3 linked regions of the Sus scrofa genome follow. The protein of the gene in region 3 interacts with the protein of the main gene of each other region in a pairwise test. Links are inferred from orthologs where the notes say so. Each region holds a gene or a part of one and is shown on either strand. Other genes may lie near its edges. The genes, in order: SDCBP, OAS2 and CLK3.

Evidence for each region.
Region 1: the proteins of CLK3 (region 3) and SDCBP interact in binary tests that used the Homo sapiens proteins (3 or more experiments, as listed by UniProt). The two-hybrid records come from large-scale screens. The link is inferred for Sus scrofa from reciprocal best matches to the Homo sapiens genes CLK3 and SDCBP.
Region 2: the proteins of CLK3 (region 3) and OAS2 interact in binary tests that used the Homo sapiens proteins (3 or more experiments, as listed by UniProt). The two-hybrid records come from large-scale screens. The link is inferred for Sus scrofa from reciprocal best matches to the Homo sapiens genes CLK3 and OAS2.

What each region holds. Positions count from the first base shown.
Region 1 is NC_010446.5:74,321,703-74,333,192, forward strand, and holds the start of SDCBP (syntenin-1 CG9291-PB), read right to left. Parts: upstream 6,856-11,490; 5' UTR 6,796-6,855; intron 1-6,795. UniProt on the Homo sapiens protein: Multifunctional adapter protein involved in diverse array of functions including trafficking of transmembrane proteins, neuro and immunomodulation, exosome biogenesis, and tumorigenesis.
Region 2 is NC_010456.5:38,837,073-38,847,881, forward strand, and holds the start of OAS2 (2'-5'-oligoadenylate synthase 2), read right to left. Parts: upstream 10,626-10,809; 5' UTR 10,531-10,625; coding exon 10,354-10,530; intron 9,083-10,353; exon of another isoform or gene 8,464-9,082; intron 6,457-8,463; coding exon 6,183-6,456; intron 3,281-6,182; coding exon 3,102-3,280; intron 2,218-3,101; coding exon 1,982-2,217; intron 1,822-1,981; coding exon 1,686-1,821; intron 1-1,685.
Region 3 is NC_010449.5:58,890,073-58,899,736, forward strand, and holds the end of CLK3 (dual specificity protein kinase CLK3), read right to left. Parts: intron 7,884-9,664; coding exon 7,789-7,883; intron 7,697-7,788; coding exon 7,567-7,696; intron 7,329-7,566; coding exon 7,246-7,328; intron 6,714-7,245; coding exon 6,634-6,713; intron 6,457-6,633; coding exon 6,366-6,456; intron 5,754-6,365; coding exon 5,577-5,753; 3' UTR 5,335-5,576; downstream 1-5,334. Other genes in the region: EDC3 (enhancer of mRNA-decapping protein 3), read left to right, coding at 1,083-1,300, 2,396-2,730. UniProt on the Homo sapiens protein: Dual specificity kinase acting on both serine/threonine and tyrosine-containing substrates. Phosphorylates serine- and arginine-rich (SR) proteins of the spliceosomal complex.

The sequences.
Region 1 (11,490 bases), on a different chromosome or scaffold from region 3:
CTTCAACTTTAAGTTCAAAAGGATAATCTGGAAATCTTGTTAATACAGATTCCTGAGTCCACAGAAACTGAAACAGCAAGTCTGGAGTAGGGTCTAGAAATCTGCCCTTTAACCCTCTGCATACAATCAGGGACCAATGGACACAATTTCACCTTTTGCGTTTCATTTTTCAGAAGTTTTACTTCGTGACTTTTACTCTTTCTTAGAGATATTAAAAAAAAAATTTAGAGTAAAATCACTCTACCTTAAAAATATCACAAGGGTTCAACTGGATCCTTTTATAAATCTAAGATCCATTACAGAATCTCAATGAATTTACTTTTCCCATAACTTGAAATATTTTTGCTATTTTATCTAGGAATTAATCATTACTCATCAGTTATTCCCTATTCCCAAGTATGCCAAAAAAAAAAAAAAAAAACTAAAATGACAGAAATAGGAACAAAAAGTAGAATCATTCCACTCAATTCATTCTAGGAATACATCATGTCATCCTTTAGCTTATACTGCCTAAAGTAGTGCATCCTTTTCTAAGGATGTATTAAGTTTGGAGAGAACACCTTTGTAGCTTTTTTTCAAATGTATTCATTGAACACTGCAGAAACTGAATTTTTACGACAACAAGGCAATTGGTCAGGTATGAGTTTTCAGATGAAGATATCTTAATTGAAACTCCTCAAACTCAAAATTCAATGAGTAAACAATATACCTGTACATAAAGAAATGTTTCAGTCATTCAGAAGGAAGAACTTTATCATGCAATATTTTGAAACAAGTCCTTGGATCCTGTTCTACTGAAAGGATATTACCATCTTCTTTCATCTTTTGTATCTATACATCAAAACTTACTTGACATGGTTTGTAAGTAGCCAAATGAAGGCAGGTGTTTAAACAAAGGTGACCAGATGAAAACAGTAATGCAGAGAAAATTTTAAGAATCTGTTGTGCTGATTATTCCAAATGGTGTTTATAAAAGTATAAGTGAAAATTTTTTCAAATACAGAAGTAGATGGTCATCCTCTCAAAGTCACAAGCAATTACAGTCTGCAAAAATACTGCATTTTTAACAATGCAAGTACAAAAATTACCAGAGAGTAATCTTAGAACATATTAGAGATGTACATGAAATCTAGAATCAGTATTGTTTTGACAGCCAAGAACTAAAAGTAATGATAAGCTAGGACATATTAGAGATGTAGGTGAAATCTAAAACAGTTTTTATAAAATGACTATCTTCCAACTTTATGGAAGACAGGTGGTGATGAGCAATCAGCTGTACTAAAAGATGCTGCCCATTTCAGCTACATCTATCTTCAAAACCAGGAAAATTTAGAATAAAAATTTGGGTTTCTTACATTTATTCAAGTTTTTATTAGAATTCTGTTTCTAATTAAGACTATTTCACTAAGCTTTTATTTTCACTTTTGCAAGTTATTCATAAAGTAATCTAAAATATAAAACAAAAATAAAAAATATCCATTGGACCCAATCGATAAATGGCAATGACCATGTTTTCTAGTACAATGAAGATTAATAAGCATTCCAGATGGTTCACATATGGTATCAAGGAGCATACTTTGAAAAATCCTAAACAGTCTTTTACAGCAATGTTTCTCAAATTTGGTTAATCATCATATCACAATTATTTGGGCACTAGTTAAAATAATTTCCCAGGCTGACACAGATTTCCTGGAAGGATTTAGGAATACTTCTTTTAATAAATATCCAGGGAGATTCTAATGATAAGCCATTGAGAACATGGTCTTATGAAGTCCACTCTAAGTAGAATTTTCTTTCCATAAGATTCCACTTCCCACCTATTAAATTGGCAAAAATTCAAAGTTAGTAACACTGCCAGATAGTAAGGCTTTAAGAAACACTCATACATTACTGCTCAAGTGTAAACTAGTACAATTTCCCTAAAGAGTGAGTTTGCAATATCTACCAAAATCATAAACCCAGTAATACTACTTCAGGTTTTAGTCTACAAACATATCTACACACAAAAAGGGAAAAATGTAAATAAAAGTTTATTCACTGAAACACCAACTGTAATAGCAAAAATTCTTAAAACAAAGGAGGTACTTCTACACAAAATACTGACAGAGATCCAAAATATCATTAACTAGAAAAAACAAAGCGTGATTTAGAGCAGTATATAAAGTATGCTTACATTTGTGTTAAAAGGGGGAACTTAAGGAATCAGAAAAAGCAGCACAAACTAAACAAACTAGAAGTAAGGAATTAAAGATTAGAACAGAGATAAATGAAACAGAGAATCGGAAAAATAAAGGAACATCAATGAAACCTAAATTTGGTTCTTCAAAAATATCAAAGTGACAAAGCTTTAGCTAAATGAACTAAGAAATAAAAAGAGAAAACAACATGTTAGTCTGAAATATTACCACTGAGTCTACAGAAATAAAACAGGTAAGAAAGCATTATGAATTGTACACTAAAAAATTAGATACCCTAGATGAAATGGACCAATTCCTAGAAACAAAATCTAGCAAGATTAAACAACAAAGAAAACAGAAAATCTGAATAGACCTATACCCAGTAAAGAGACCGAATCAGTAATCAAAAATCTCTCAACAAAGCAGAGCACTAGACATGACCAATTTATAGGTGAACTCTATTAAACACTTAAGGAAGAATTACTACCAATCCTTCTCAAAATTACACCAAAAAAATGAAAGAGAAGGAACACTTTCATTCTATGCAGACAGCATTACCTTGACATCAAAGCTGGATGAAGACACAAGAAAGAAAACTACAGACCAACAGCCCCTATGAACAATGATGCAAAAATCCTTAACAAGATACTAGGCAAGCGACCTCAGCTGCACATTAAAAAGATTAGCCACCTTTAAACAAATGGGGTTTATTTCTGGAATACAAAGATGGTTCAACATATGAAAACTGTTCAATGTAAGTAACATCAACAAAATGAAGAGAACAAACACAGTCATCTGACAAAATTCAACATCCTTTTACAATAAAAACACACTACGGAATAGGAGTAGAAGGAAACTACTTCCACATAATAAAAGCCGTATGTGCAAAACTATAGTACAATTGTACTAGTTAACATTTTAGCAGTAATGTATGAGTGTTTCAAACAGGTGAAAGACTAAACATTTTTTTCTCTGAGATTAGGAACAAGGCAAGGATGCCCACTTTCAAAACTACTCTTCAACATAATACTAGAAGTTCCATAAGCAATTAGGCAAGAAAAAGAAACAAAAGGCATCCAATTGGAAAAGATGTACAGTTTAACTCTTTCTAGATATGACCTTATTATATTTAAGATTTAGAAAGCCCTAAAGACTCCACACACACACACACACACACACACATAGAACTAATGAATTCAGCAATGTAACACAACAGTCAACAGGAAAACCAGCTGCATTTCTACACATAATGAGCAATCTAAAAAGGAAAACACAAAAACATTTCCATTTACAGTAACATCGAAAAGAAAAAAACTACTTAGGAGCTGTTTAATCAATGAGGTAAAGAACTTGTACAATAAAAACCTCAAAAAACTGCTGAAAAAAATAAAGAAAATACAACTAAATGTAAGCCTATCCCATGTCCAAGGACTGCTAGACCTAATATTAAAATGTCAATACTATCCAAAGGAATAACACAGAATCAATGCAATCCCTACTGAAACCTCAACTTTTTTTTTCAGAAATAGAAAAAAATCCTAAAATTCATATGGAATTTCAAGGAACCCAAAATACCCAACAATCTTGGGAAGAAAAAAAAACTGTAGAACTTGCACATCCTGATTTCAAAACTTACTAGAAAGCTACAGTATTTCAAAATGGTGTAGTACTGGCATAAAGATACGTCTTTACAAATGGAACAGAATGGACAGTGTAGAAATAAGCTCTTGTATATATACAAGGTCAAATGATTTTTGACAAGGGTGCCAAGACCATTCGACAGAAAAAGACAAGTCTTTTCAACAAATGGTGCTGGGAAAACTGGGTATCCATATGTAAATGAAAGAAGGTGGACCCTCACTTAATACCATAGGTACAAAAAATTACCTCAGAATGGATAAAGGATCTAAATGTAAGACTTTTCTCAAACAATAAAAACTCTTAAACCAGGACAAAAGATTCCTGACGCTGGATTCGGCAAAGATTTATTGGATATGACACCAAAGGAACAGGTACCAAAAGAAAAAAGATATATTGGTCTTCATGAAAATTTTTAAAATTTGTGCATCAAAAGACACTAACAATGGGAGTTCCCACTGTGGCTATGAACCCAACTAGTATCCATGAGGATGCAGGTTCCACACCTGGCCTCCCTCAGTGGATTAAGGATCTGGTATCGCCAGGAGCTGCAATTAAGGATTCGGGAGTTGCCAAATCAAAGATGCAGCTGGTATCTGGTGCTGCTGGGGCTAGCAGCTGCAGCTCTGATTTGACCCTTGGCCTGGGAACGTCCATATACCACAGGTGCGGCCCTTAAACAAACAAACAAAAAAATACTAATAGAGTAAAAAGACAATCCATGGAATGGGGAAAAAAAATTTGCAAATCAGATGTAAGAGATTAATACCCAGAACATTTAGAGAACTCCTAAAACAAAAAATAAAAATTAAAAACATAAAATCAGCAAAGATCCTAACTTGACATTTCTCCAAAGAATATAGAACAGCCAACAAGCACACGAAAAGATGCTCAAATCACTAATCATTATGGAAATGCCAATCAAAACCATGAGATACCAACTCTCACACCCACGAGAGTGACAACTATCAAAAAAAAGTGTTGGTGACACGTGGAAAAATCTGAACCCTTATTCACTGTTGGTGGAAATACAAAATGGCACAGGGGCCATAAAAAAAAAAGTGTGGCAGTTCCCCTAAAAAATTGAAAATAGAATTCTATATATATATCTAGCAATTCCATTTCTGGGTATACTCCCCCCAAAACTGAAATCTGCATCTGAAGAGAGATTTTTATATCTGTGTTCAGAGCAGCATTATTCACAGAGATAACTCAAACGTGGAGGCAACCCAAATTTCCACCAACAAACGAATGGATAAGCAAAATGTGGAATACACACACACGGAAATGTAATTTTGTTGCCTTAAAACGGAAGGAAATTCTGCAACACACAACTACATGGGTGAACTTGAGGACATTATGCTAAGTGAAATAAGCCACTCACATAAAAGACAAAAACTGATTCCACTTATGAGATCCTTAGTAGTCAAAATCATAAAGATATCAAGAACAGCAGTGCTTGACAGGGGCTGGGGGGAGACACTTTATACCACTCTTTGATTCAATGTTGAGCCATTTAACTGGTTACCTCTTCGGAAACTAAATAAATGGACAAAAAAATGTTGGTGGCATTTGCAAAGAAATTAATAAATGCGAAGATAACTATTACTAAATGTTAACAGGTGTTGTTTGGGAGAATCTATCTTTTACGAAACTCTTGGCATTTACTACCTAAAAAAGAAAGAACCTAAATCCAGCAGAAACAGGAAAAACAACAGGTGAGTCATGTTCATTTAGGAACTATTCTCTTCAACAGCAGGTTTATTGCCAACCACAGGTAAGTTCTTCCTCATGATTTTTACATTCTTCTTCTACCGCCCAATCGCAAAAATTACTGTTGCCAAAGTTAAATAGAGACTGTAACGGAATGACTATTTCCTGAACCTATTAAAAGGCATTTCCTTATTTTTATTTCGCAGCAAAAACCACATGATCCGTAATATTTACTCGCCATTTAAAGTTTATAAAGTACGGTGGCCACAGGGAAAATGGGAAAAACAAAACATTCTTACTGTTTGTCCTCAACCTCAGATTTTTAAAAATTACAGAATGGACAAATTTTAAAGTAATCACATATATAGTTGAGATAGAAATTACCAGCCTGCGATTGTTTTACCACATAATTTCCTTTTTTTAACCAATTATTTCCTTTGAAACAACTGGGTGTTATGAGTTTGGTGAACTACATATACTAAGAGCTGTGTATGGTGGAAAAAACAACAGTACACAAGTTATGCAGACACTACATACAGACTAGATAAAGCTAGACACTTCTTTTTAGAAGTTGGCACATTATAAGGCTCCATGACTCAATCCATTTTGGTGATAAAGGCAAACTTTCCATATCCTTTGGGCTCTGCTCTCACATCATTACAAGGAAATCCTGAAACGAAAGCTTTGAGTCACGAGCCCTCAAGGGACGTTTCCTTCGCAGCCGCGGAGCGGGAACCGCGGCTCCTTCCTCCAGCTTGTCCAGAAACCCGGCCCCGAGCAGCCTCCCCACCCCCACCCCCCCCCCACACAAAGTCAAGGCTTCACCCCAAGAGGACGCCTCCTACCTCCCGCCAGACAGGACGCTGCGGTGAGGTCGCCGAGAAAGAGCCCGGGGACGCGGCGCCCGGACGACCCGGAGACCGGAGCCGCCGCTGTCCCCTCACCGCCCGGGCCGCCTCCGGGAGGAACAAAAAGAGTCGAGGCGGCCGCGGGTGGGGGGCTGCGGGCCGACCACGGGCTCCGTCCTGGCCCCGGCCCCCAGTCCGCAGGGTCGCCGGCAGCCAAGGGAGCCGCTCGCGCAAACTTTCGCCCCGGGCCGCGGGCGCCGGGAGGGGCGCGGAGACCACCGACGACAGGGCGTCGCCGTCGACGCGAGTAGCTGCGCCGAGACGCCCCTCCACTAAGCGGCCCGGGGACTCTGCCCCTCCGGTTCCGTCCCCGAGCCCGGGACGCCGAGGGTGCGCCCCTCTTTCCCCCTGGTGCTCACCCCGGCCGTAGGTACCTGATCGCCGCCGCCGCCTCCGGTCACTGACTCGGACTTCCGAGACCCGGAGCGAGGAAGGCGGCGCGCGCCCGAGGACCGCCTGTGAGGCGCGTCACCGCGCCGCTCCCCCCTTCCGCTTGCGCAGGCGCGCAACGCTCTGTCAGGTGACCCCGTCGCCAGGGTAACAGGGCGCGGGCGGCTCAGCGGCCCCCACTATTGCAGAGATTGGGGATGTAGAGCCCCCCCTTCCCCCAGCCAACCTGCTCCCCTCTCTGGGCACTTCGTGACCAGCGACGCCACTCTTCGTCTGCCTCATTCATGATGGTTCCCATCACCTCGAACACAGGGAGCCCCGAAACCCTAGCCTTTGGCGATTTCTTGGCCAGCCTTGGACTTCTACCACCGTGGTCATATTCATCACCACCCTCTCGGTTGACCGCTCTACCTACAGGCTCTGAAGCCTTCCTCTCTCTAACCCTTCCCAACCCCTGCCCTCTTTGTGTTACAACTTGTTTGACTTTTTTTACCCTCTGCCCGTCTGAGCTAAAGTTCACGGGTTGTTGAGGGTTATGTGAGGTAGTGCACAATAGCTGTGTCCTAACACAAAAAGTGAAAAACTGTTTCTTAAGGGCTATGTTCCAGAAGATGTCCTAAGAACTTGATGTATACAGTAGTCTTATTTGATCCTTACGTCTATCTGAGATATTCTTGCTGTGTTTGGTTTGTTTGGTTTTTTTTTTTTTTTAACAACTGCAGGTACTGGCTTGTGAACTTCCCCAGGCCAGAGGTAGGATCACAGCTGCAGCTGCAGGCCTGCACCACAACCAGGGCAACACCGGTTTCAAGGCTCACCTGTGACCTACAGCTTGCAGCAACTGCTGGATCCTTAACCCACTGAGCGAGGCCAGGGATCAAACCTGCATCCTCAGAGACAAGGCTGGGTCCTTAACCAGCTGAGGCAAAACAGAACACTGAGGCAACATCTTTAGCTTGTGAAGACACTGAGGCACACTTTACCTAAATTTTCCATACTTACCATGGAGTAACAGAGCACTTGACAAAATAGCATTTATTACCTTAGAAGCATTTTATTTCTAGCTAAATTATTTAGTACACAATAACCTAATCTGGGGCAAAACTAGTAAAAGTCTGAGCATAAAAGAGGTGACAAGTATGTAATATGTAGACTGTGCCCTCAGAGTCTGAGGTCTAGGTGATAAAATAGATATTTAATTGGATTGGGAAGGAAGAAATAAAACTAGTTTTGTTCACAGGTGGCATGGGTTATATAGAAAGTCCCAAAGAATTGGCCAAAAAAAAAAAAAGTGGTTATAGCAAGGTAGCAGAATTCAAGTTTAACATATGAGCCAATTGTTTTCTTATATAACAGTAGTAAACAATTAGAATTTGAAATTAAAGGCACAATATCACTCATACTGGCACCAAAAAATGGAATAAAATAATTAGGTATAACTGACAAAAAATGCACAAAATCTATGTGAGGATAAGTATAAACATTCTAATGAAAGAAACCATAGTATTATACTAATAAATGTAATGATAGCCCATGTTCTTGGATAGGAAGACACATTATTGTCTTATATCAGTTTTTCCCAATTTGATACATTTGGCACAATCTCAGTCGAAATCCCAGCAAATTATTTTTGAATCCTAACAAACTGACTAAAAAGTTTTTACAGAATACAAAAGGCTCAGAGAGCCAACACAAAATGGAAGAAGGGGAACAAAGTCATGGGCCTGACTCTGCCCAGCATCAAAACCTACTATAAAGCTAGAGAAATCAGACAATGTGGGATTGGCAAAAGACTAGAAAAATAAATCAATGGAACAGGATACAGAGCCCAGAAATAGACATGCACAAATATATTCAACAGATCTCTGACTAAAGAGCAAAGGCATTTAATGGGTAGTCTTTTTTTTTTTTTTTTTTTTTTTTTTAAGGGCCACGCCTGTGGCATTTGGAAGTTCCCAGGCTAGGGGCTGAAGCAGACCTGCAGCTGCCAGCCACAGCTATGTAGGATCCCAGACACATCTTCGACCTATACCAAAGCTTATAGCAACGCTGGATCCTTAACTGACTGAGTGATGCCAGGGATTGAACCCTCATCCTCATGGATACTAGTCTTAACCCACTGAGCCACAATGGGAACTCCCAATGGATAGTTTTTTCTAATGGTACTAGGACAACTGGACCTCCGTATTCACAAGAAAAAAAAAATCTAGACAAGACCTTACACTTTTCACAAAAATTAATTTGAAATAGGTCATAGACCTAAACTTAGCACTCAAACCGATAAAACTTCTGGAAGATAACCTAGGAGAAAATCCAGTTGAACTCTGGTTTGGTCATAAGTTTTAAAATGAAGCACCAAAACCACAATCCACGCCAGAAATAAAAAAAAAAAATGACAAGATAAGACTTAATTAAAATGTAAAGTTTCTTCTTTGTGAAAGACATTGTTTAGAGAATGGAAAGATAAGTCACAAACTGGGAGAAAATACTCTTGCAAAATGCATATGTGATCAAGTCTTGCATCCAAAATATTCAAAGAACACCTAAACCTCAACAGTAAGAAAAGAACCCAATTTAAATCTGGGCAAAAGATCTGAATACACACCTCGCCCAAGAAGATCTACAGATGGCAAATGAGTGTATGAAAAGAGGCTCAACAGCATGACATTAGGGAACTGCAAAGTGAAATGACAATTTGAAATACACCACTACACACCTTTAGAATAGCTAAAATCCAAAACAATGCCGATGCCAAATAGCAATGAAGATGTGAAGCAACAGGAATTCTCACTCATTGCTGAGAGGAATATAAAGTACAACCAATTTAAAAGGCAATTTGGAAGTTCTTAAAAAGCTCAATGTAGTTTTGTATGAACCAATTATCCTGCTCATGTATATTTGTTCAAATGAGTTTAAAACTCAGGCCCACACAAAACTCTGCAGCTTTATTTATACGTGCTCAAAACTAGAAGCAAGCATGATATCTTTCAACAGGTAAATGGATAAACTCTGTTATGTCCATAAATGGATCATCCAGCAATGAAAACAAATGAACTATCAAGCCATGGAGGAACCTTAAACGCATATTGCTGTGTGAAAGAAACTAGTGTGAAAAAGCTACATCCTGTATGATCCCAACTATGTGACGTTCTGGGGGGAAAAGTAAAAACTTAAAGGCAGTAAAAACAACAGTGGTTGCCAGGGATTTGGAAAATATGGGATAAGATATGTGAACCCAAGGAAATTTTTTTAGGATGAAGCTATTTTATATGATACTATGGTGGTAAACACATGACATTATGGATTTATCGAAAACCACAGACAGGACAGCATGTGGTAAAACTATGTGTGTGTATATATATATTAGCCTTTGTCCCCAGTTTTGGATCAGAACTTCAAATACCCTTGAGTTGGACGTCCTGTCGTGGCTCAGCGAAAACGAATCTGACTAGCATCCATGAGGACACAGGTTCAATCCTTGGCCTAGCTTAGTGGGTTAAGGATCTGGCATTGCCATGAGCTGTGGTGTAGGTTGAAGGTGTGGCTTGGATTCTGTGTTGTTGTGGCTGTGACGTAGGCTGGCAGCTACACCTCGGATTTGACCCCTAGCCTGGGAAACTCCATATGCCATGGGTGCAACCCCACAAAGACAAAAAAACAAAAAAACAAAATAAACCCCACTGACAACTCATGAACCTCCAAGGGTGGTTATGTCGTAATTATGCTAATGAGGTGGCTCCTGGCTGGAGTGGGATTGAGGAGAGAGGGCTCCTCAAAGCTCTGTGATAATGGCTGGTCACCAGAAAGACCATACATGCGATTAGAGGGTTGGTACCTATAGCCCCACTCCCCAACCTTCAGGAAGGAGAGGGTGCTGAAGACTGAGTTCATGCCTGGGTCAATAATTCAGTCAATCATACCTGTGTAATGAAATTCCAAAGAAAAAGTCTGAACATCTGTGCTTGATGGCACGTCCTGGTTAGTGAATGTATCCATTTACCTGCCAGAAGAGTGTCCCCAGTTCATCAAGGACAGAGGCTCCGGCCCTTGGGACTCCTCTGGACCTTGTCCTGTGTGTCTCCTCATCTGGCTGTTTATTTGTATACTTTATAACAAAACAGCAATCAGAATTATAGTGCTTCCAGTGAGTTCTGTGAGTCACTGTTCAAACTTGAAGGGGCATTGTGGGTGTCTCTAAATCTGTAGCCACATTGGCCAGAAATAGATATCATGAAGATGCCATCTGTGGTCCTTATGTGATGTGGGTGCAGTCTCATTAGAGATCCTGTCCTTTGAGGAGTAGGAACTGATACTAACTCTGGGTAGCAGTGCCAGATTAAATGAAATTGTGGGACACCCACCATGGTGTCAAAGAACCCTTGATGGAAGGGAACACATGCTAGCCAGGAGTGAACCCTGATGTGCAATAATGTATCAAGATTGGTTCATCAATTGCAACAAATGTTCAGACACTTACACAGGAGGTTAAGAAAAGGGGAAATTGGGGAGATGGAAGTACATGAGAACTCTTGGTACTATTTCCTGAATTTTTCTGTAAACCTAAAACAGTTCTAAAAAAAGTCTATTAAAATATAATAATTACACAAATAGAGTTGCGATAGGTGTTGAAGAAAATGCTCAAGGGTATGTAGAGAATGGATAAA
Region 2 (10,809 bases), on a different chromosome or scaffold from region 3:
ACACTATTCAACCCTCCACAGCAGGGGGAGCTGTGCCCTCGAAGGGAGCGGAAGACCCTGGAGGGTGGGACCTGTTCACTCCCTGGCCCTTGCAGCCACTTCTGGAAAGAAACCATATTCTGCTGTCTAGATGGGGTCTGACACCTGCACAGAAGTGCGGTTCCTCTTTGGGAGAGGACGTGCTCTGAGGAGCATGGGTCACGATACCTCACCTGAGCATCTCCTCTCCCCTGTTCCACCTGCTGCGGTCAGGGACTCCCGCAGGCCTGTCTGCACCTTGCTGGTGGGAGGCAGAATGGCGATACCCCTCAAACGTCCACATCCTAGTCTAGGACTACATGGATGCATTCCAGTTAAGGATCCTGAGATGGAGAGCTTATCCTGGGGTGGGGGGCAGGGTGCTGCAACCCAGTGTCATCACAAGGGTCCTCAGCAGAGGGAGGCAAGAGATTCAGATATTATTACTGTCCAGAAACAATCCATTTTCAGATTTGGCCGATTATCCCAAGGACGTCCTGTTCACAGATTCCTTCACTTCCAGGGCCCTGTGAATTTGGCAAGTTCAATTTACGTCTACCATTTCTATCCCAGATCGTTGCTCAGCGGGCCCTCAAATTCCTGTGTAAGTGATGTGCAGATGCCTGCCTCCCATAATTTGGATGTAAATTGGTCCCATACCCATATCTGTGCCATGTGAAATTCAACTGACCTATTGGGCTTCAAATGATGCATCTGCCACCCCCACCCCTCAACCCCATGACCCCCATAAAAGCTGAATGGGTTCACTGGTGTAACCAGAGAACATTCTTGTGGGACTGTCCTCTGCTAAGCCCCAAGAGTGCAAGGCAGTTGGTGCGGATAGATTTGCTCTTCCTCTGGGGAAGGGCGGGGAGAGGCCAGTGCCTCTCTTCACGGCTGCCCCTCTGACCGTCCTCCCCTTTCCAGCCTCCCGTCTCACTCTGGTCCTCTGCCCCTGCCCGACTGGAGCTCAGAGCCTATCCTGGCATCTGCAGGGGTGACTGCCACCCACTCCTCCGCTCGATTTCATCTGTGGCCCCCTTTTCTCTTTGTTCAGTTTTGCACTTGACCTTCCTTTCAGTGGGAGGGCAGGCTCCTCGTGGAGTGTTATGGATTTGGATTGTGTCCCCTGAAAAGACATGTGGAAGCCCAACCTCCGGGACCTATGAATGTGACCTGATTTGGAAAATGGGTCTTTGCAAAGAGGTGACCAAGTTAAGACGAGGTCACCACTATGCACCCTCATCTGGTATGACTGGTGTCCTTAGAAGAGAGGAGAGAGACACAGGGACAGGAGGCACTGTGGACACACAAGAGGAGGCTGTGTGACAAGGGAGGCAGAGTGGAGGGCTACTGCCACAAGCCACGATGCCAGCAACCCTCAGAAGCTGGGAGAGGCCTGGAAGGATTTGACCCTGGAAATTTTCGAGGGGGCGCGGCCCTGCTGGCACCTTGATCTTGGACTTGGAGCCCCCAAACCTGTGAAAGAATCCACTTCTGTTGCTTTAAGCCACCGGTGTACAGTGTGGTTTCACGGCAACTCTAGGAAACTGACACATGGAGAGCCTGGATGAAGCCGCAGGCCGAGTGTTGGTGGGGGGCAGGGGACTGGGGGGGGGTGTGCTGCCCACAGCAGGACATGCACTGGCTTGGAAAAGCCCTCTCACCAGAACATTCCAAGATGGTCCAGGTGACTCGTTCAGAAAAGACAACCAGGTTTCAGCTTCTAGTTTTAGCAGGTGCCAGCACGAATTATCTTGGCTCACGTTATTGGTTGGGTCCGTTGGATCCAGGATTACTGGCCTATAAATTCCATTGGATTAAAAAAAAAAAAAATCAGTTGGGCTGCTGGTGGGAGAAGAAATGAGCTGGGGGAGGATGAGGAAGCGCCCTTATTCTAAGCGGGCACAGCCTGGCCTGCAGATGAAGAGGCAAGGAGAGGGGGTGGTGGGAGGCGTGCTACCTTCGCGCCCTGAGCTGGCCCAGCAGGACGTTGCGCACGGTCTCATCTTCGAAGTTGTAGTTGACTGTCCAGTAGACACACAGCTCTCCTGGCTTCCTGATGAGCCCCAGGACCGTCCTGAGGCCTTCAGCTATGTCAAAGTCTTCTGCTCCACAGCCCTGTTCCCATGCGTAGACTGTGAGCAGCTCCAGAGCATACACCGGCAGCTGGAATGAAACCGCCAGCTTTTCCTGGCACTGCGGGCAAAGAAAAAGGCAGCAGTTAAATGGGGACCGTTCCTTCCATGCTAAGGGTCCGAAATCAAGGAACCGGAAGTCTATAGGAAGTCACTGTCCCCTGCCGATGACCAAAATGACACCATGGCTCAAATTCGATGGACTGACAATTCCAAGTGTTGACAAGAATGTTGAGCCCCTGAAGCTGTCACACATTGCTGCTGGCAGTGTGATCTGGTACACGGCATGGCATGTACGTGTACGTGTATATTTACATATACACCTAATTGTATGTGTATACCTATAACGCATATACACAAGGTGCATACACACACACACACATGCATATGGTATGCCTTACAGCACAGCAGTCTCATGCCTGCATATTTACCCAAGAGAAATGAGTGCTCAAAGTCACAAAAAGACATGTAGGGAAATATCCATCATAACCTAATTCATAACAGCCCCAATCTGAGAACCACCTAAATTTCCTTCAGCAGTGGAATGTGTCAATGTTCAGTGTATTAATGCAAGGGACCAGAACAAAGCAACGAACACCCACTAGCACATGCAACAACATGGACGAACCTCTTAGGCATAATATGGAGCGAAAGAGGGCAGATGTGACGCACATAGTCTGATTCTATTGACACTGAGTGAAAAGCAAGTGAAACTAATTTGTGGTGACCAATGTCAGGACAAGGGTTCGTTTGGGGCGAGGACTGCCTGTGAGTAGGCGGCCCGCTGGGGTGCAGGAAATGTGCCCCATCTTGATCTGGGTGTTGCCTAAAAGGACAGAAAAAGGCGCAGAGCCGTATTCTTCAGCTTGCTGTACTTTGCCGGATGTGAATTATCTCAGTGAAAGGGAAATGGATGTAGCAATAGACGCGCACTTTGAAATTTACCTGTTGATACCAGTACTTTACCAAGAGGATCAAATCCTTCAGTTTTCTGGGAAGGTTATTAAAAAACCTCTCCTGGAGTTCAGTGAAGCAGACTGAGAACTCGCCAGGGCTGGCTTTCATCATATCCAAGGATCTTTTGAGGTCTCGATAGGTCCAGGGGCTGGGCTTCTCACTTAAGCCTGGTATCAAAGAGACCCGTGGAACTTTTAGTATTCATGGAACTTGACCTTGGTGAGCCCACACATTCCCTGCCTCGTCCCTAAGAGAACTGGTAGATTTGCGTAAAAGGTGAGGGGTGGCTTGTCCTGCTAGACAATAAAGCATAGACTCTAAAATGAGTCTTATGGACACGGTATGGGGCTGTCCTAAGAAAGGTCAGTAGGACCAAACGGAGGGACAGGAGACACAGTTACAAATGCAAAAGGGGGGATCCAAATGAGTAGGGAAAGGATGGTTTCTTTAAAAAAATGGCCCTGGCGCCGCTGGCACCCATCTGGAAGACAATAATGTTTATATACCTCATGTGGTATATTCTGCTATCGAGCCTGTCCAGTGAATTTCTAAATCAGAGGGTCAAGGGTGCAGGCGGGCAGGGTGAAGGCAGAGTGCTGGAGGCTGGGGATGAAGGCCTGTGGGCAGGCGCACGCCCTGCAGAGTGGAACCCCAGGAGATGGGGCTGACGAGGGGCAAACTGGGTGCCTCCCGGAATCCTGCTGTGGAGCCAATCGGGGAACACAGGCCCAGGAGCCTCCTGGGTCAGTGAGCCTGGGACTCAGAGTTTTCCATATTAGCTCTGCAGATCGGATACTCCAGTGGGAGAGAGTATCCCCACTTGGGCCTCTGTATTTTCTACTAAGTTTCCCTTCTGATTCTGATACTCACCGGAGTTTGAACACCACTGGTAGGGAAACGAGAAAGCAAGGACAGTGGAGGAGATGGCAAGAGAGTCCAGAATTTAATCATAGGGTTTCCTTTCTTGCCAGCTGAGCCCTACGGTTTAGATAAACCAGGAGACAGCAGCCGGATTATTCTTATCATTCACCTTGACAGATACTTACTGACGTCTTACTATCAGCCAGGCATGGTTCTGTGCACTTGCGGCAGAGAGGCGGACGGAAAAAGCATTCCGCCGTCTTCATAACAACAATAATACAGCTAACATGGACTGAGTGCTTACTCTATGCCAGGCACAGTTTAAGCCCTTCCTGTAGAGGGAAATATGTGAGCCTCACAAAACTCTCATGTGGTTCGTGCAATCAGCTGCTCACTTACAGATGAGGAAGCTGAAACACCAAGAAGTCAAGTAAATAGAAGAGTCGTGCTTTGGGTCAAAGACCCTGGGGAGAGAGCAGTGGTGGTACATGGCTGTGGAAAGGGACGTAGAGGTGAAAGAGGTTGGCTTGGAGCTGGTGTGAAGAGCAGGCCAGATTAGTTAGGCTCATATTTAGTAAAAAGTAATTTTAAAATCCCCCAGTTAGGTTACTTTTCTCAGAAAGCAACCATGATTGTTTTCCTCTAGAAAAGGGATGTTTGGAATGTGTAGCTCTACCGCCATCTGGTGGCAGCTTCTGATTCTTACACATGAGGAAGAGCTGATTTCTTTTTCTCACACCATCCTCGAAGGATGGGCGAACCCAGCAGAGGGCGCCCGGGCCTCATCTCCAACCACCCGGCTCTGAACCAGAGGGAAGAACAGGATTTCCAAGAATTCTCAGTGACACTGTGCCCCTTCACCTTGACTCCAGCCCCGGTTTGAGGCAGGCAAGTATTCTCAACCCTTATTGTCCTAAAGGGCTTAGAAGGTAGCCGTTTCTAGCCTGATCTTACTGATGGCAAAAGTGGGTTATAGTGGGAGCAGGATAAGAATTCGGGGCTGCCTACCTTATAAATTAGTGCATTTTCAGCTTGTGATAATATATGTACCTATAGACTAAGCTATAACTACTGAGACTTGTTTATTCAATCAACCATCCATCCATCCAACTATCCACCTATCCATACATCCAACCATTTACCTTTTTTTTTGTTTTCTTTTTTGTATTTTTAGGGCCACACCCACGGCATATGGAGGTTCCCAGGCTAGGGGTCTAATTGGAGCTGCAGCTGCTGGCCTACGCCACAGCCACACCAGATCCGAGCCGAGTCTGAGACCCACACCACAGCTCACGGCAAGGCCCGATCCTTAACCCACTGATGGAGGCCAGGGATCGAACCTACAACCTCATGGTTCCTAGTTGGATTTGTTTCCACTGTACCACGATGGGAACTCCCCAACATTTATCCATTCAAATAGCTACCCATGGAAAATCCTTGCATCAATGTTAACCTGATTAGAAGGCAGATGTCAAAAATCTGCCCCATCCAAACTCTCCCCAGATGTCTGCTCCATCTTCTTCCTCTAATGAACATTTATTCTAGTCTAAATCCTCAAGTATGGTACACAGACCAGAAGCAACATCATGGCACTGGTTAGAAATACAGAATCCCTGGAGTTCCTATTGCGGCTCAGCTATAATGAAACTAACTAGTATCCATGATGACATGGGTTCAATCCTTGGCTTCGCTCAGTGGGTTAAGGATCCACTGCTGCCATGAGCTGCGATGTAGATCACAGCCATGGCTCGGATCCCTTGTTGCTGTGACTGTTGCTGTGACGTAGGCCAGCAGCTATAGCTCTGATTCCACACCTGGCCTGGGAACTTCCAGGTGCGGCCCTTAAAAAAAACCCAAAAAACCAAAAAACAAAAGCAGAATCCCGGACCCAGATCTTCTGAATCAGAACCTGCATTTTAACAAGTTGCTCATATGATCTGTGTGCACGTCACAGTGTGAGAAGCTCTAGATTCTAGAGTCTAGAACATTTTCTCCTAATTAGAAGACGGAGAGTCATTCTAAAGAAGAGAGTAAGTTCAGGGCAGGAGGAAGCGCCTCTCTTGAAAGTCCTTCATTTTGGAAAGCACCAATGGTATTTATGCCACCCTCAGGCTATCCACCACCCTTTTCTTTGGCTTTGCTCTCTGCACAAGCCCCTCCAGACCTGTTACACACCCCACCACCCCACACACACCCAGGAGGGCTCACCTAGAGCATTGAAGGCGGGCAGGATCTTGAAAGTGATGCTCTGCTCTTTAGCGAACAGCTGGATGGTGGTGGGCCCACTGTTGAAGTTCTGGATCTCCATCTTGGCTTCCAGCTTCCTTGTGAGCTGACAGCATTTCAACTGTGCCCAGATTTGGCTGAGGAGCTCAGAGTGGTTTTTACTCTGATCCTGGAATTTCTCAAGGTCACTGATGAAGATGACAAGGGAACCATCAGAGTTGCCCCTCAAGACTGTTTTCCGGCCGTACGAGCCACCCTGTCAGCAACAGAGAAGCCGATGTGAGCCTCTGAACCATTTGTGTGTGTGTGTGTGTGGGGGGGGGGGGGGTCACAGGGTGCCCCAGCAGGTAGAAATGTTTCTCAACACAAGCAAAAGCTCCATGTCACCAGAGCCTAAAAGTCTGGTTCATGTGACCACCCAAGACGCCCCCAGCATCGCTTTTCATTCCAGCTCCAGACTGGAGGCCACAAATGGCCACCAGCAACAGAATGGACAAATGCAGTGTATCGACATGATGGAATACAGGACAACAACGAAATGATAAACAACAGCTGCCCATAACCACACACATTTCTTCAACAGATGGGTCCAAAACCCCACTAAAGCTGCATGGTGCACGATTTCTTTTACATAGGGTGAACAACCTGTCTGGCTTACCCTGGACATTCTCAGTTTTGGCACCAAGAGGCCCATGTCCCAGAAAACCCTTCAGTTCTGGGCAAATGGGATAGCTGGTCACCTTATATTTATACAGAGTTTAAAGACCAGCCAAAAGAATTTATGCTGTTAGAAGTCAGGAGAGTGGTTGTTTGGGCTTGGGGGTAGTGACTGGATGCGAGGTTCAGGGGCTCTTGGGTGGGGGCTGGAAACATTTCATTTCTCCATCTGGCTGTAGGTTACACATATATGCTGTTTGTGGCAATCTATAAGGCTGTACACTTGGATCTGTACTTCCTACCTCACAGCCACAGCAATCCTGGATTTGAGCTGCATCTGCAACCTACACCACAGTTCACAGCAACGCTAGATCTTTAACCCACTGAGCAAGGCCAGGGACTGAACCCACATCCTCATGGATAGTTGGATTCATAACCCACTGAGCCACAATGGGAACCTCCTGTGTACTTTTTGTATGTATTATTTTTTAAGAGATCATATCCCCAAAGTAGCATTTATTTACCCACTGAATTCCAAAACATTTAATATATGTCTGGCATTTTGTAATCACCCATCATGATTGACATGGGCTGACACACTTGGCGCTGTCAGGATACACAAGGACGATAGCCAAAGAGTTACAAAAGAAAATCCATTGATTCTTTTTTTTTGGTCTTTTCTGTCTTTTTAGGGCCGCACCTGTGGCATATGGAGGTTTCCAGGCTAGGGGTCGAATCGGAGCTATAGCCGCTGGCCTATGCCACAGCCAAAGCCACAGCCATGCCAGATCCGAGCCGTGTCTGCAACCTACACCACAGCTCAGAGCAACGCCAGATCCTTAACCCACTGATCGAGGCCAGGGATGGAACCCGCAACCTCATGGTTCTTAGATTCGTTTCCACTGTGCCACAACGGGGACTCCAGAAAATCTATGATTCTTAAACAATCATACACACTCCCAAAGTCACAGGTATCAAAATTTTAGATGCATTGCATTGAAAAGGTTTGTCCATGTCATAATTTAAAGAGGGAAAATAGGTGCTGGGAGTTCTCATTGTGGCTCAGTGGTTTGAGAACCTGACATAGTCTCCATGAGTGTGCGGGTTCGATCCCTGGCCTTGCTTAGTGGGTTAGGGATGCGGCAAGCTGCAGTGTAGGTCACAGAGGCAGCTTGGATCTGGCATTGCTATGGCTGTGGTGAAGGCCAGCAGCTACAGTCATATCGGACCCCAAGCCTGGAACTTCCATATGACCTAGGTGTGGCTGTATAAAGGAAAAAAACAAACAAGGCACTACTGAAACCGCACATTAAATGGTTATTAAGCTGACTGACAGAATCAAGGGTCTCAGCTTCCCCTGTTCTCCATTAGCTGAAGAAAGAGGTGAGAGGGGTGAATTCATTTTTGCATGCACAGCAGTACTGCTTAAGGAAATGCTATCAGCTTGTTTTGGAAATCATATCCCCAAAGTAGTATTTATTTTACCCACTGAATTCCTTGAATACTTACTGCAGCCTGTCTGGCTAACTCTCCTTCCTAACTTCCCCACTGCTATCTCCTGCCTTTTACCTAGACCGACAGTTGTGGTAAAACCAGCTGGACGCACCTGTCTGCACGATTCGAAAAGGGAGCTCCCCTGGGCTCGGGGCAACCGTCAGCCCAGCAAGGCGCCTGGTTGCCTTCTCTGGCTTCCCAGTCCTACGGGTCGCTGGCCCAGAGGGTGAGGTTGTCTCGCAGCAGCTGCATGATGAGCGTGGAGTCCTTGCAGGACTCCAGCTCGGCTCTGGTATCCTCGATGGCCTGTTTGGCTAAGAGGCAGGGCTGCTTGCGCGCCTCCTGGATCTCGTAATAGAACCCGGAGAAGCTGAGGGCCAGGCCCAGCCGCCTGGGTGCGTCAGGTGCACATGTTCTTTGCCGATTTCCAAGGCTTAGGTCACGCTGTTTTCCTTCTCGCCGGGAGCCGCCTGGGCCAGGCAGCGAGAGTAGTCGCTCTTCAACTTCAGGTAGAAGACCTTTCCTTGCACAGGAAACCGTTGTGTAGTTGTCGATGAGGAGGTCGTCCAGCTGAGCCAGTGCGTCCTTGCACCCCGTCTCCAGCCCTCCTTCTCCATCTTCTCCCGATAAGCCTGCACCTTCGCCGTTCTCATCGGCCTTGCTTTTCTAAAGCTCAAGGCTGCTGCGGACCCTCCAGGAAGACCGCCGGGCACCGACCACGTTCTTTTAGGCCTCGGAGAGGAGATTTCGGTCTTTGTTGGAGAGAGCTGCGTCAAGCTCCGTCCCCTTCAAGTCTCCGACAAAATCTGTGCACACAGCAGGTAGCTGCAGGAGAGCATTTTTCAAGCCTCTGCAGCGGGGGCCGCGCGGTCTTAGCGCTCCACCTGCTTCCGCTTCCGCTTCCGCTGGGGTGGCCGCGGAGCGCCCTGCCTCACACGCGCACGCGCGCGGCTTGGCGACCCGCCCCCGCCCCCACTCCCCTGCCGCCCGGCGCTGCGTGTGTTAGAAAAAAGTTAACAATGTTGAGAGGTAGGATGGCTTCGGGTTAAGGGTGCAAGCTCCCAAACGGATCACTAGCGCTTACAATCCCAAATTGGATATCAACTATTAAATAACTTCCCCGTGCCTCAGTTTCCTCATCTGGGCCCAGGCAGAAGACGCCAAAGGCTCGGATGTCTTTACTGCTGGGGCTAGTGGATGCATGTAAGGGCAGAAGCCAGAAAGCGCTGTGACTGCAGAGAAGCGGGATTCCAGTGCTGGAGAGCCTGGGATTGGGCATCTACAATGCCCTCTCCCTACCCTAGGGTCTTAGCACCTTCTCAGCATCCTTTCTTCTCCAAAGGTCCAGAATCTTCCGTCTCAGCCCCAGGATTTGTGTCTGTAGCACCAAACATTTCTAACTGATGAGAGCGCCCCACCCCTGGCTGTTGAAACCACAGAGCATCGGTAGGAAGCTTTACTGAAGTCTTCTAGCCTCAGTTTACCCCTCTGGAAAATAAGGAGATTAGAAGCAATAACAGTAATCACAGCTAATTTATTTCACTTTTTTTTTCTTTGGCTGTGCCAAAGCATGTGGAAGTTTACGGCCCAAAGATCGAACCCATGCCACAGTTGCAACCTGCGGCAATGCTGGATCCCTAACCCGCTGCCCCAAATGGGAACTTCTTTTGTGCTAACTTTGTACCAAGCCCTGTGCAAGAACATTATATGCTCAAGCCTCTTAACATTTTGTGATGAGTATTATTGCTCTCCCATTTTATAGACTCAGACACTAAGGCACAGAGAGGTTAAGCAAACTGCTCTGGGTCACACAGTAGTAAGAGGCAGAACCAGCTCCCAACCTGTACTCCTAAACTCTGTACTGTATCCCACCATCTCAGTTGAGCAGCATGGGGAATATGATGATGTCTGTGTGCCCAGGGCCTGGCACACAGTAGGTGCTCAGCACCAAGTCTTTCTTCCCTCTGGCTCCCTGAAGGCCTGACCCCAGCCCTCTACTCACTCTGGCCACGCTTATCACCAGGGGCAACTGCTCAGCATCCTGCAGGACTTTGCAGATGGTGTCCACGGTCTGGTCGATCTGTTTCTGACAGTCTTCAGAGGGTCTCAGGTTGTTCTGGACAAACTCTCCCAGTTTCTGAGGAGGCCGGTCATAGAGATGGGACCCCCAGTTTCCCATTGCTCTGGCTGGCTGCTGAGAAGACAGCTAATGGCTGAGCTGGAGGCAGAAGAGAAAGAGAACTTTTATGCCCAGAGCCAGAAAACCGAAACTCATCACAGGGGAAAAGGAAACTCACAGGGCCTTTCCAGCTGACTGCCTCAGGATTTTCCCCGCCCCTATGACTATCGGCCAGCCTCTCAGCTGCTGTAGTGAAAAGGGGAGTCACCGGCGCTGGCTCATGAGGGCTTGATACACACTAGATCTGTGTCCTTGAGCACATTGTTGGTCCTTTTTGTG
Region 3 (9,664 bases):
CGAGGGTGGGGGTTTCCTCTTTGTCTTGACATCTGTCTTCCTCCCTTTGGGAAACCAGTAAGTGGCGGTCACTGCTCTGCCCCTAAGCAGGGACCTAAGCCTCTTTCTTGTGGTTCATCTCCTCTTCTTGCCTAGGGGCAAACTGCACTGCGTGTGAGTTGGGCGCAGCTCTAGGGCTAATCCTCCAAGCCTCTTTACTTGTGACTTCTCTGAGACCAGAGAGGTCTCAGCTTTGAATGGCTGGAAGCGACTTCATCCAGAAGGTCGGTATCCAAGGCAGCTACCAGCCTAGGAGGCTGGGAAGGCCCTAACCTGCTGCCTCTTCTGTGTCCAGTACTAAAATGATGCCAGCATTGATTGAATACTCTCTCTGTGTTGGTTCCTATTTCAAGTGCTTTACATCCATTAATCTACCCGGCATCCTGTGAAATAGATGCTATTAAGAACATTGCTGTTATTAGCTTACTGGCGGCTCAGTAAAGAACTTGGACTGGCAACTGATTGAGGATGATGTAGAACTATCTTCTTTGGTACTTGCTGTGAGTTTCTTCAGAGTTGAGCCATGGTAATACTAGAAAGGGTAGGTCAGAGTTTCAGAGATGAAAGGCTTTCTGGGCAAGGGAAGTAGTTTGAGTAGAAGCAATAAAGAACCTAACAAGTGCAGGAGAAAATGATGAGACCAGTCTTCTTGCTGCAGTGGAGCAGGCATGTTGGAGAAGAAGAGCAAAGAAGGCTGTAGAGGTGGACAAGGCTCTTTGCTAAGGAGAGTTTGGACCTACTAGGTCACACAGTGAGAACATAAGTGTTCTTGGTCAGAAAGCAGCCTTCTGCGAACAGTGTTATATGGAACAAGATCTGGGTGAACTACCTAGTGAGAGGACCCAGCAAATGAAGTGACACTCGGGTGTGGGACAGTGGGAATGCCACCGTATAAACCTAACCTGTAGTGGATTTTGTCCCCCTCTGAAACTGGAACTAATGAGAACTTCGAGAGCAACAGGTCTGAGAGGCACTTGTCTGGTATATGGCACCAGGGATTGGCAGACCTGCTGCTAATAATGCTCCTTTACTTTCTGTTCCAGATTGAATCCCAAAAATATTCACCAGAGGCCTACAGTGGCCCTGCTATGTGGGCCCCATGTGAAGGGGGCTCAGGGTATCAGCTGTGGAAGGCATCTAGCTAACCATGATGTCCAGGTCATCCTCTTCCTTCCCAACTTCATGAAGATGCTGGAATCCATCACCAACGAGCTGTCTCTCTTCAGCAAGACCCAAGGCCAACAAGTATCTAGCCTCAAAGGTGAGCACTTGGACAGGGCCAGGCCGAGGCCCTCTCCCTCCTCCGTAGTTTGATGGTCTGGCAGTGCCACCCAGTGGCGGCAGGTGGAAAAGCACCACAAGCATAGTGTTCTTTCCCTGTGAGTGGAGTTAGTGTCTGAGATAAATAATTTTGGTGCCAACCGGCCTACTTCCCATCCCTTCACCTTCCTCGTTCTCCACTCAGATGGAGAGGTTGGGACCCATTTATTCATTTCACAAATATTTACAAGATGGGCACCGTTCCTGACACTTGGGGATATTGGCAGCAGGTTTTGTTCTTTTGGATTTTTTTTTTTTTTTCCTCTTAAATCTGTGTTTCCATGGAGCTTACATTCTGGTTAGGATGGGCCACAAGTAACATTTCTATCCGGTCAGATGGTAGTAAGTGTTAATGGAGACAAATAAAGCAGGGAGGAGTTCCTGTCGTGGCTCAGCAGAAACAAATCCCAGTAGTATCCATGAGGACACAGGTTCGATCCCTGGCCTTGCTCAGTGGGTTAAGGATCCAGCGTTGCCATGAGCTGTGGTGTAGGTTGCAGCTCAGCTCGGATCCTGCATTGGTGTGGCTGTGGCGTAGGCCAGCAGCTGTAGCTCTGATTCCACCCTGCCCAAGGACTTCCATATGCCTCAGGGCGGCTGTAAAAAGAAAGGAAGGAAGAAGGGAGTGGAGGGAGATAGAGATTGTTGGCGGGTTGGGTGAAAGGTAGCAGACTTAAACATTTAGGGTCTAATCATAGATTATTGTAAGGATTTGACCTGTTACTCTGGGTGAGATGGAGAGTCAATGGAAGGATAAGAAGAGAGATAATCCAGCTCAGGTTGCAGATGATCATTTTAGCTGTTATTTGAGAGAAGATTGTTACAGTGAGCGGTGTGAAGGCTGTTGGGGTAACTGGAGAGGGAAATGATGTGGCGGAGGCAGCATGGTAGTGGTGGAATCAGTAAAAGGTGGCCCCTGCAGCGTCATCAGAGTGGTGGAGTGGCATCACTCTTGGGGCCACCTTGGTTCTGGTCCCCTGCCTGGGCTGCTCTCTGATTCGTAGGGGTTTTCAGATGGCACTCTTTCCACCTGCAGATCTGCCCACTAGCCCTGTGGACCTGGTGATCAACTGCCTGGATTGCCCCGAGAATGCCTTCCTGCGGGATCAGCCCTGGTACAAGGCAGCTGTGGCCTGGGCCAACCAGAACCGAGCGCCAGTACTCAGCATAGACCCTCCTGTGCATGAAGTTGAACAGGGCATCGATGCCAAGTGGTCGCTGGCTCTGGGCCTGCCTCTGCCTTTAGGGGAGCATGCCGGCCGCGTCTATCTGTGCGACATCGGCATTCCCCAGCAGGTGTTCCAGGAGGTGGGCATCAACTACCACTCGCCCTTTGGCTGCAAGTTTGTCATCCCACTGCACTCCGCCTAGAAGGGCTCTAGGCAGGCTGGACCTTGCGGTCCCCCCGCTGCTCCTGATACTGAACTTGACAACGAACGCCTTAAGGATGTGAAACTTCATGGACCTTGTTCAATTTTTTCGTTTGCATTTGTTTCTTTGAGAGAACAGATGGTATTTAAAACTGACCTGTCACCTGCCCTTAGCCAGGGAAGGCCTCCCCACTGGGTGTGCGGGGCAGGTGGCAGGCTGAGTGGATGGTGGGTCCAGGGATCCATACACTCAGCCCCCGTGTGGTCAGATGGGGCTTTGTTTACAGACATAGGCAGCTCACAGACTGTGTTTCAGGTTTACAGCCACTGGACCTGGACGAGCGCCTCATGGGGTGGGGCAGTTCTGTTTAGGGGCCTGTGCTTGCTCTGTTTCAGAGCTTGTGGCTTTGTCTCCCCTGCTTCCTCCCCCCAAGCAGCCCTTACCGATCATGTAGAACTGGCTGTGCTGCAGTTGCCCACTAGAGGGCAGACTTGCGTCCTCCATGTAATCTGAGGGCTTTGAGGTCTTCTCTGAGCCCCACCATAAGTTGATTTGGGGGCTTTTGACCCTTTCTCCTGAGCTGATCTAAGTTTTATGCTGGAGTTTTGTTTTTTGTTATTTTTTTTTTCTAAGATTCCTTCCTCCTTCCCACTCCATCACTCTGAGAGGCAGAGAAGTGGGGGTGGCATCAGAATTGTTTTACTATATTGGAATTTTTTACTGTTTTTCTGTTGTCTTCAGTACAGGTAGTATAAGGTTATGTTACTAGAGAACCACAGTGCCCATCTTGCCAGCAGTGCCCCCCGCCCCAAACCCATACTCTCTAGCTGGGGGCTGAGCCTTTGCCTAGTCTGGGGCCAGACCCCTCAGGGTGCAGCTTTAATGTTTAGTATTGGGGAGGCCCCAGGGGGAGCCTGGTGCTGAGCCAGAAGAGGCTCCCTGGTGCTTCTGTCCTAGGCCACCACTCCCCTCCGCTCCCTGCCTGCACACACATACCCGTCTTCTCTTCTACCCCCTCTGCCCTTCCTCTGCAGTGGTCCTCTGCAGCTGTGATCCCAGAGCAGGGTGCATGTCTCTCCCCTTTGGGCTCCACCCCAGCTTTTACAGTGTCTGGGCCTTGAACCCTCTTTGTCCTTTCTAGATGAGTAGGCTCAGGGCCAGCGCCCTGTCTCAAAGATGCCAAAATGAGGCTAGTTCTAGATGAGCTAGCTGGGGGGTGCTCAGCCTGAAGAACATTGTGCTGCTCAGATCCTATGCACTGAGCCCGTGGACATTCACAGGCCTAGGCCCTGGAGGCTGGCAGGACAGGAGCCATGCCCCGAAGTTTCTGGGAGAGGCTCTTGCAAAAGGCTTGTGCTTTAAAGCCTCTTTCAGGGCTTCAGGCTTCTGCTCTGTGCCCACTCACTCTGGTTAAGGGGGTGAGTAAAAGGGCTTGGCAAGGATTGTGGACACAGGGTAGGCCCTGGCACCATGGGTTTCAGGCTACTTTCACTTTCTTATAGGAGCATAGCCAGGAGCAGATGAGGCAGGGCAGAGGGCTGGTCCCTCCTTTCCTCCCATCCTCCTTCAAATGCTGAATTGTCTCTAGCAGTGGAAGGTCAGCGACTGTGAATCCCGTGCTGTATATCCTTCCTGAGCCTCTGCTTACTCTCAGGGCCAAGAAGCTCCCCACATGGGGCCCTCTCTTTATAGAAGCAGGGCTGTAAACTGAGGAGCAGTGCAAGATTACAGGCATTTTGGTAAGCAGTCGTTAACCCAGCCCTGGCTTCCGGTTAATGCAGGTAGGTCCCCTGATTGGGTGCAGTGAAAAAGAGCTAGAAGAACCCTGGCCCAGAAGACTCTGCTTGCTCCAGTAAGTCACAGTGGCCCTGGGGTGCTGGCCTTGTGTTGAGGAGCCACAGGGAATTGTTAGTGGCCAAGGCTTTCCCTCTTTTCTCTCCAGGCAGCATTGGAGCCTCTCCCCACCCCGGCCTGGGCCTTCCCCAGTGGTGTTAGAGAAAAGCATGTTCCTCTGTTGTCAGCTCTTTTCAGGGGCATCCTGCCCACGATGCTCAGTCCTCAGTCAGGTGGCTGAGACCATCACTCATGCAGCTTCTGGGGAACCAAAAACCAGCACTAAAATAAAGCTGAGTGACCGAGTCTGTGCTCTGGTGCATTGCTCTCTAGGCTGCAGTGAGGTACTGCCTCCCCAGCCCTAGGAGCCTGCCTTGATTCTTTCTTACACTTGACAGCTTTCAGTAAACCAGTTATTGGGCACATACAGCCTCAAGCCCCAGCCAGGGACAGGCCTGGAAGGATAGGTACAACCAGGTGCTGCCTGGCTGACTACAGGGGGCTACTGCTTACATTCCTTGGGGGCTGAGAGGGCCAAGGGCCAGCAGGGGAGCAGGTGCCTTTCAGAACTATTTAGCAGACCTACCACCTCAGGGCTATAACTGCTCTTCTGGGCCCCAAGGGACCTGAGCTGCTGGTCTTTTCACTGGCTAGCCCTTCTGTGCCTGGCCCAGTTCACACTTAGCTCTCCACAAGCTCAGCTACTAAGAAAGACTTTATTAATAAAGTAGGGAAGGGAGAAGGCAGGGAGCCTGGAGACGGACACACTGGTACCAGGGGTTACAAACAGTAAGAAACACTTTATTATAACTTTACAACATATAAATAGCTTGGGTCAAATCTGTGCTTTCTGGCAGCTGGGCATCAAGTCTCCTCCCCTGCAGGCTCCTGCCTGCCTTCACATTGCACTGTTCGTGGGTGGCTCTGGCCCTGGGGCCAATGGTAGAGGTTGGAGAAAAGGGCCGGGCAGCCCAGTCCCACTCTCCATCTCCTGGCGCAGTGGCCTGTGCCTGTCATCTGCTTGGGTTGCGGCTGGTGTGGAAGGACCGCTCCTCAGGGGTCAGGCCAGCAAAGAAGGGGTGCAGCAGGGCCTCCGCCAGTGTAATGCGCTGGGCAGGGTCGAATTCTAACATCTTCCTCATCAGGTCAAACAGCTGCACGTGCTCCAGCGAGTCTTGGAGCATGTAACTCTGCTCAGGGACACAAGGTGCCTCAGTGTGATGACAGGGCCATGGGAAGCCTTGCTGTGTGGCTGAGGAGGCAGTGGTACCTCCCCGCCTGGAGGACTACTGCCCTCTCGGACTGAGAGCAGCTCTTCATGCCAGTAATCATGTTTGCTCTGAACTCGGCAGGCTACTAGGTGTCTCCCTGGCTTGGTGCCTCTGCCCCACACGCAAAGTTCAGACAGGTGAGTAGGGAGCACCTCTGTGAAATCCACATCTGAGCACCAAATGCAGTTGACAGCGGCTTCCTGGCCATGTCTAGGTCTCCCCCCATCCCACCTCAGTCCTGCTTAAGTTCTTCCCCAGATTGGGGGGGGGGGGGCAGGAACTAGAAGGGCTTCTGACATCTGGCCCCCCGGGTGCTCCCCGATTACATTCACAGCCACCTTGTGGGGATGGGGTAGGGCTAAGGGGCCCTCTGGGGCAGTCTGCAAGAAGCCCCACTGCCAGCACCCAACTCCCATAGAGCTGGAGTGAGGAGGCAGCCTTTGGCTGCCTGGCCTGTCTCGCTGCTGTGTGTCTGCCCAGTGCCTGGGGTCCCCTTGGCATGCATTGAACTGGGGGAAGCCAGAAACTGACCTTCAGAGGTTTGCAGTTCTCCTTCACATACCGGCCGTCAGAGCTGTTCTCATCCCAAACCAGGCCCCCTTTGTAGAAATACTTCTGTTTCCTGAAAATGAAGGACAGGAAGGGTCAAGTCTTCAGTGGAAAAGACAGCAGCAGCCAGGAGCCCAGCAGCAAGGCCAGGTGGGGGATCCTGAGCTGACCTGGCAGGAAGGTCTGGACAGCAGCTTTGCCAGGTCTCTCTAAGGAAGGAAGGAAAGGCCCCGAGCCGAGGCCTCCTTACCTGGTCCGGTGGATCATGTGGGATGGGATGGGCCCTAGGATCTTTTCCATCATCACCAAATGTTCTCGATTCTCATGGGTCTGTGGAAGGGTGGGACAGAGCAACCAGGGGTCAGTGCCAGCCTTAGCCCCCTCAGAGAAGAAGGGGCAAAAGTTTCCTCCCTGCCCCAGGAGATGGAAACCTACAGCAGTCCTAGCCTTTCTGACCTGTGGCAGCCTGGGGCCAGGGATGAGGCCAACCTATTCTCCTTGCAAGGTCAGGGTCGGACTTCTTGACCCTCCCCGTTCAGGTGAACCCCATGAGTTCATTCCTGCTCCATTCCTCACTCCCCAGAAGGTGCCCATCTCCATGCCCTCGCTCATAGCTGTGCCCCTTTGCCTGGAATGCTCGTTCCTCCCATCCCAAGCCTCCATCCTGAAAGGCTGATCACAAGAGTCCCGGAGTGTTCCGGCCACCCTGATCTCGTCCTTCCCCTGGGCACCTAGAACCCTCAGGGGTCAGTCTCACACCATGCGTGCTGGTAAGCGGTGGGAGGGCTTCCCACACTAGGCCGCTGCAGCCTGTCAGAGCAGCAGTGCTTAAGGCAGTGGGGGGACATGGGAGAGGCCATACCTGGAAGAGTGTGAAGCCCCGGTAGTACTCAAACAGAATGCAGCCAATGCTCCAGACGTCACAGGGCTGTGCCCAGCCCAGCTCTGAAAGCCAAGATGGGAGAGGCTATGAGATTCAGCCCTGGGTTCCCAGCCTGGAGGTCACAGGGCAACTACCACACTGCCTGGCATGATTCTTGCCCCAAACTCTGAAGTCCCTTTCTTGATAAGGCCAAGTCAACAGCCACAGTGACTCAGGACACCAGCCCCAGGTGGCAGACAGGCACCATACCTTCCAACAACTGCCCACTTTATCAGGGTTGGGAGCTACACAGTCACTTACCGAGGATGACCTCAGGTGGGCGATAGTGACGGGTGGCCACGATAGTTGTGTGATGCTCGTGGTCAAAGGTAGCACTGCCGAAGTCAGCCACTCGGATGCTGGTGTTCTTCACAGACTTCTCCTCACAGCTCTGAAGGGCAAGGAGGGGGAGCCGGGTCAAGAGTCTGCCCTGGTGGGTAACCCAACCCTGGAGCAGGGGCTTACTCCTTCCCCCTCCAATACCTTGTGCTCATTGTAGAGGGTTTCAAACTCCGAGTTCACAAACAGGATGTTCTCTGGCTTCAAGTCTGTGTGGGTCAGTTGGTTCTCGTGTAGAACTGGGGAAGCAGGAGAGGAGGGAAGCGGATGCTGGGAACCTGGACTTTTCTCTGGCCTCGCTGCAAGCGCTGGGCCAGATCCCGCCCCCAAAGCCAGCCTGCCAGAGCCTCTCAGCCCCTAACCTCAGCAGTGAGCCAGCGGGCAGACTGAACTGCTGCTGCACTGGCTTTTTTTTTTTTGTCTTTTTCCTTTTTTTAGGGCCGCACCAGAGGCATATGGAGGCTCTCAGGCTGAGAGTCAAATTGGGGCTGGAGCTGCCAGCCTACACCACAGCCACAGCAACGCAGGATCCGAGCCGCATATGCAATCTACACCACAGCTCACAGCAACGCCAGATCCTGAACCCACTGAGCGAGGCTAGGGATCAAACCCATGTCCTCATGGATGCTAGTTGGGTTCGTTAACCGCTGAGCCATAATGGGAACTCCTGCACTGGCTTCTTTCTCCAGAGTTCTCTGTGCTTAGGACCTTGAAGCATTCTGATACTTGAGAAGTGGGGATACGGCAGACTTTTTTCATTTAGAAAACCTCCCTCCATCTGTCTGTGGGGGACCAGGCCTCCTCAGCCTGTCTCACCAGAGTTGCAGCATCAGCCCTGGGGTGGTTCCCACTCCCCACCACGAGCTACGTAATATTTGAAGTCCAGGGCAAAAGGAATATGCACGTCCCCTTATTCAAAAATTACTAAGAATCTCAGGGTGTTCCCCTGGTGGCAAGAGGGGTTAAGAATGTGGCACTGTCACTGCTGTGACTTGGGCCGCAGCTGTGGCGCACGTCTGATCCATGGCCCAGGAATTTCTGCATGCTGAGGAATTTTTCCCCAGCCAGAAAAAAAAAAAAAAAAACCTCAAGATGATATGAACAGGAGTTCCTGTCGTGGCACAGTGGAAATGAATCCAACTAGCATCCATGAGGTTGCGGGTTCAATCCCTGGCCTTGCTCAGTGGGTTAAGGATCTGGCATTGCCGTGAGCTGTGGTGGAGGTTGCAGACTTGGCTCGGATCTAGTGTTGCCGTACCTCTGACATAGGCCGGCAGCTGTAGCTCCAACTGGACCCCTATCCTGGGAACCTCCATATGCCTTGGGTGCAGTCCTAAAAAAGACAACAAAAAAGATGATAGCAACAGAGCATTAAACCAACATAGGGCCACCTACAAAGCCAGTCCTGTGCCTCATCCCTAGCCCTGAGTGGGGGCTCGGAGTCCGCCTTTTTCATCCAACCCCCATCACACTGATGGCTGTACTCTGTCACTCACCACTTTCCCCACCTGGCACTGAAGACCCTCACAACGGTGCAGCCCACCTCTCCCAACACGGGCCCTCTCTTCACCAGAGTGAGTTTCAGCACCTGCCAGGCTCTGGGCCATCACTAAGCGGCTCACACTGCTTGGAATGCTCCCCCGTCCCATCATCTATGCAGGCCTGGCAGTCTAGCTCTAGGTCTATCCACCTCCTCTCCAACTAGCCTCTCTGACCTGTTCCAACCACTGCAAATACTGCAGTGCCGGGCATAGGCACCAGCAGATATGCTCTGTGAGGTTGGCAGACAGATGGGAAGTGTGGTGAGACAGGGTGTCTATGTGGTGGGTGGGATCTGTCTGCCAGGTTAGTCTTTGACCTTTTCATCCTAAGCAGGAAGGTGGGAGTGGGGGGGGTACCAGGCCTATTTCAGAACAGCTCTTTGCTTTTACCTCTTCCCGAGTGCCTGGGGGCAGAAGATTGCTCAGGAGGCCCCTGGAGGGGACTGCAGCCTCTCCATCCCCACAGTCGCCCACTTCAA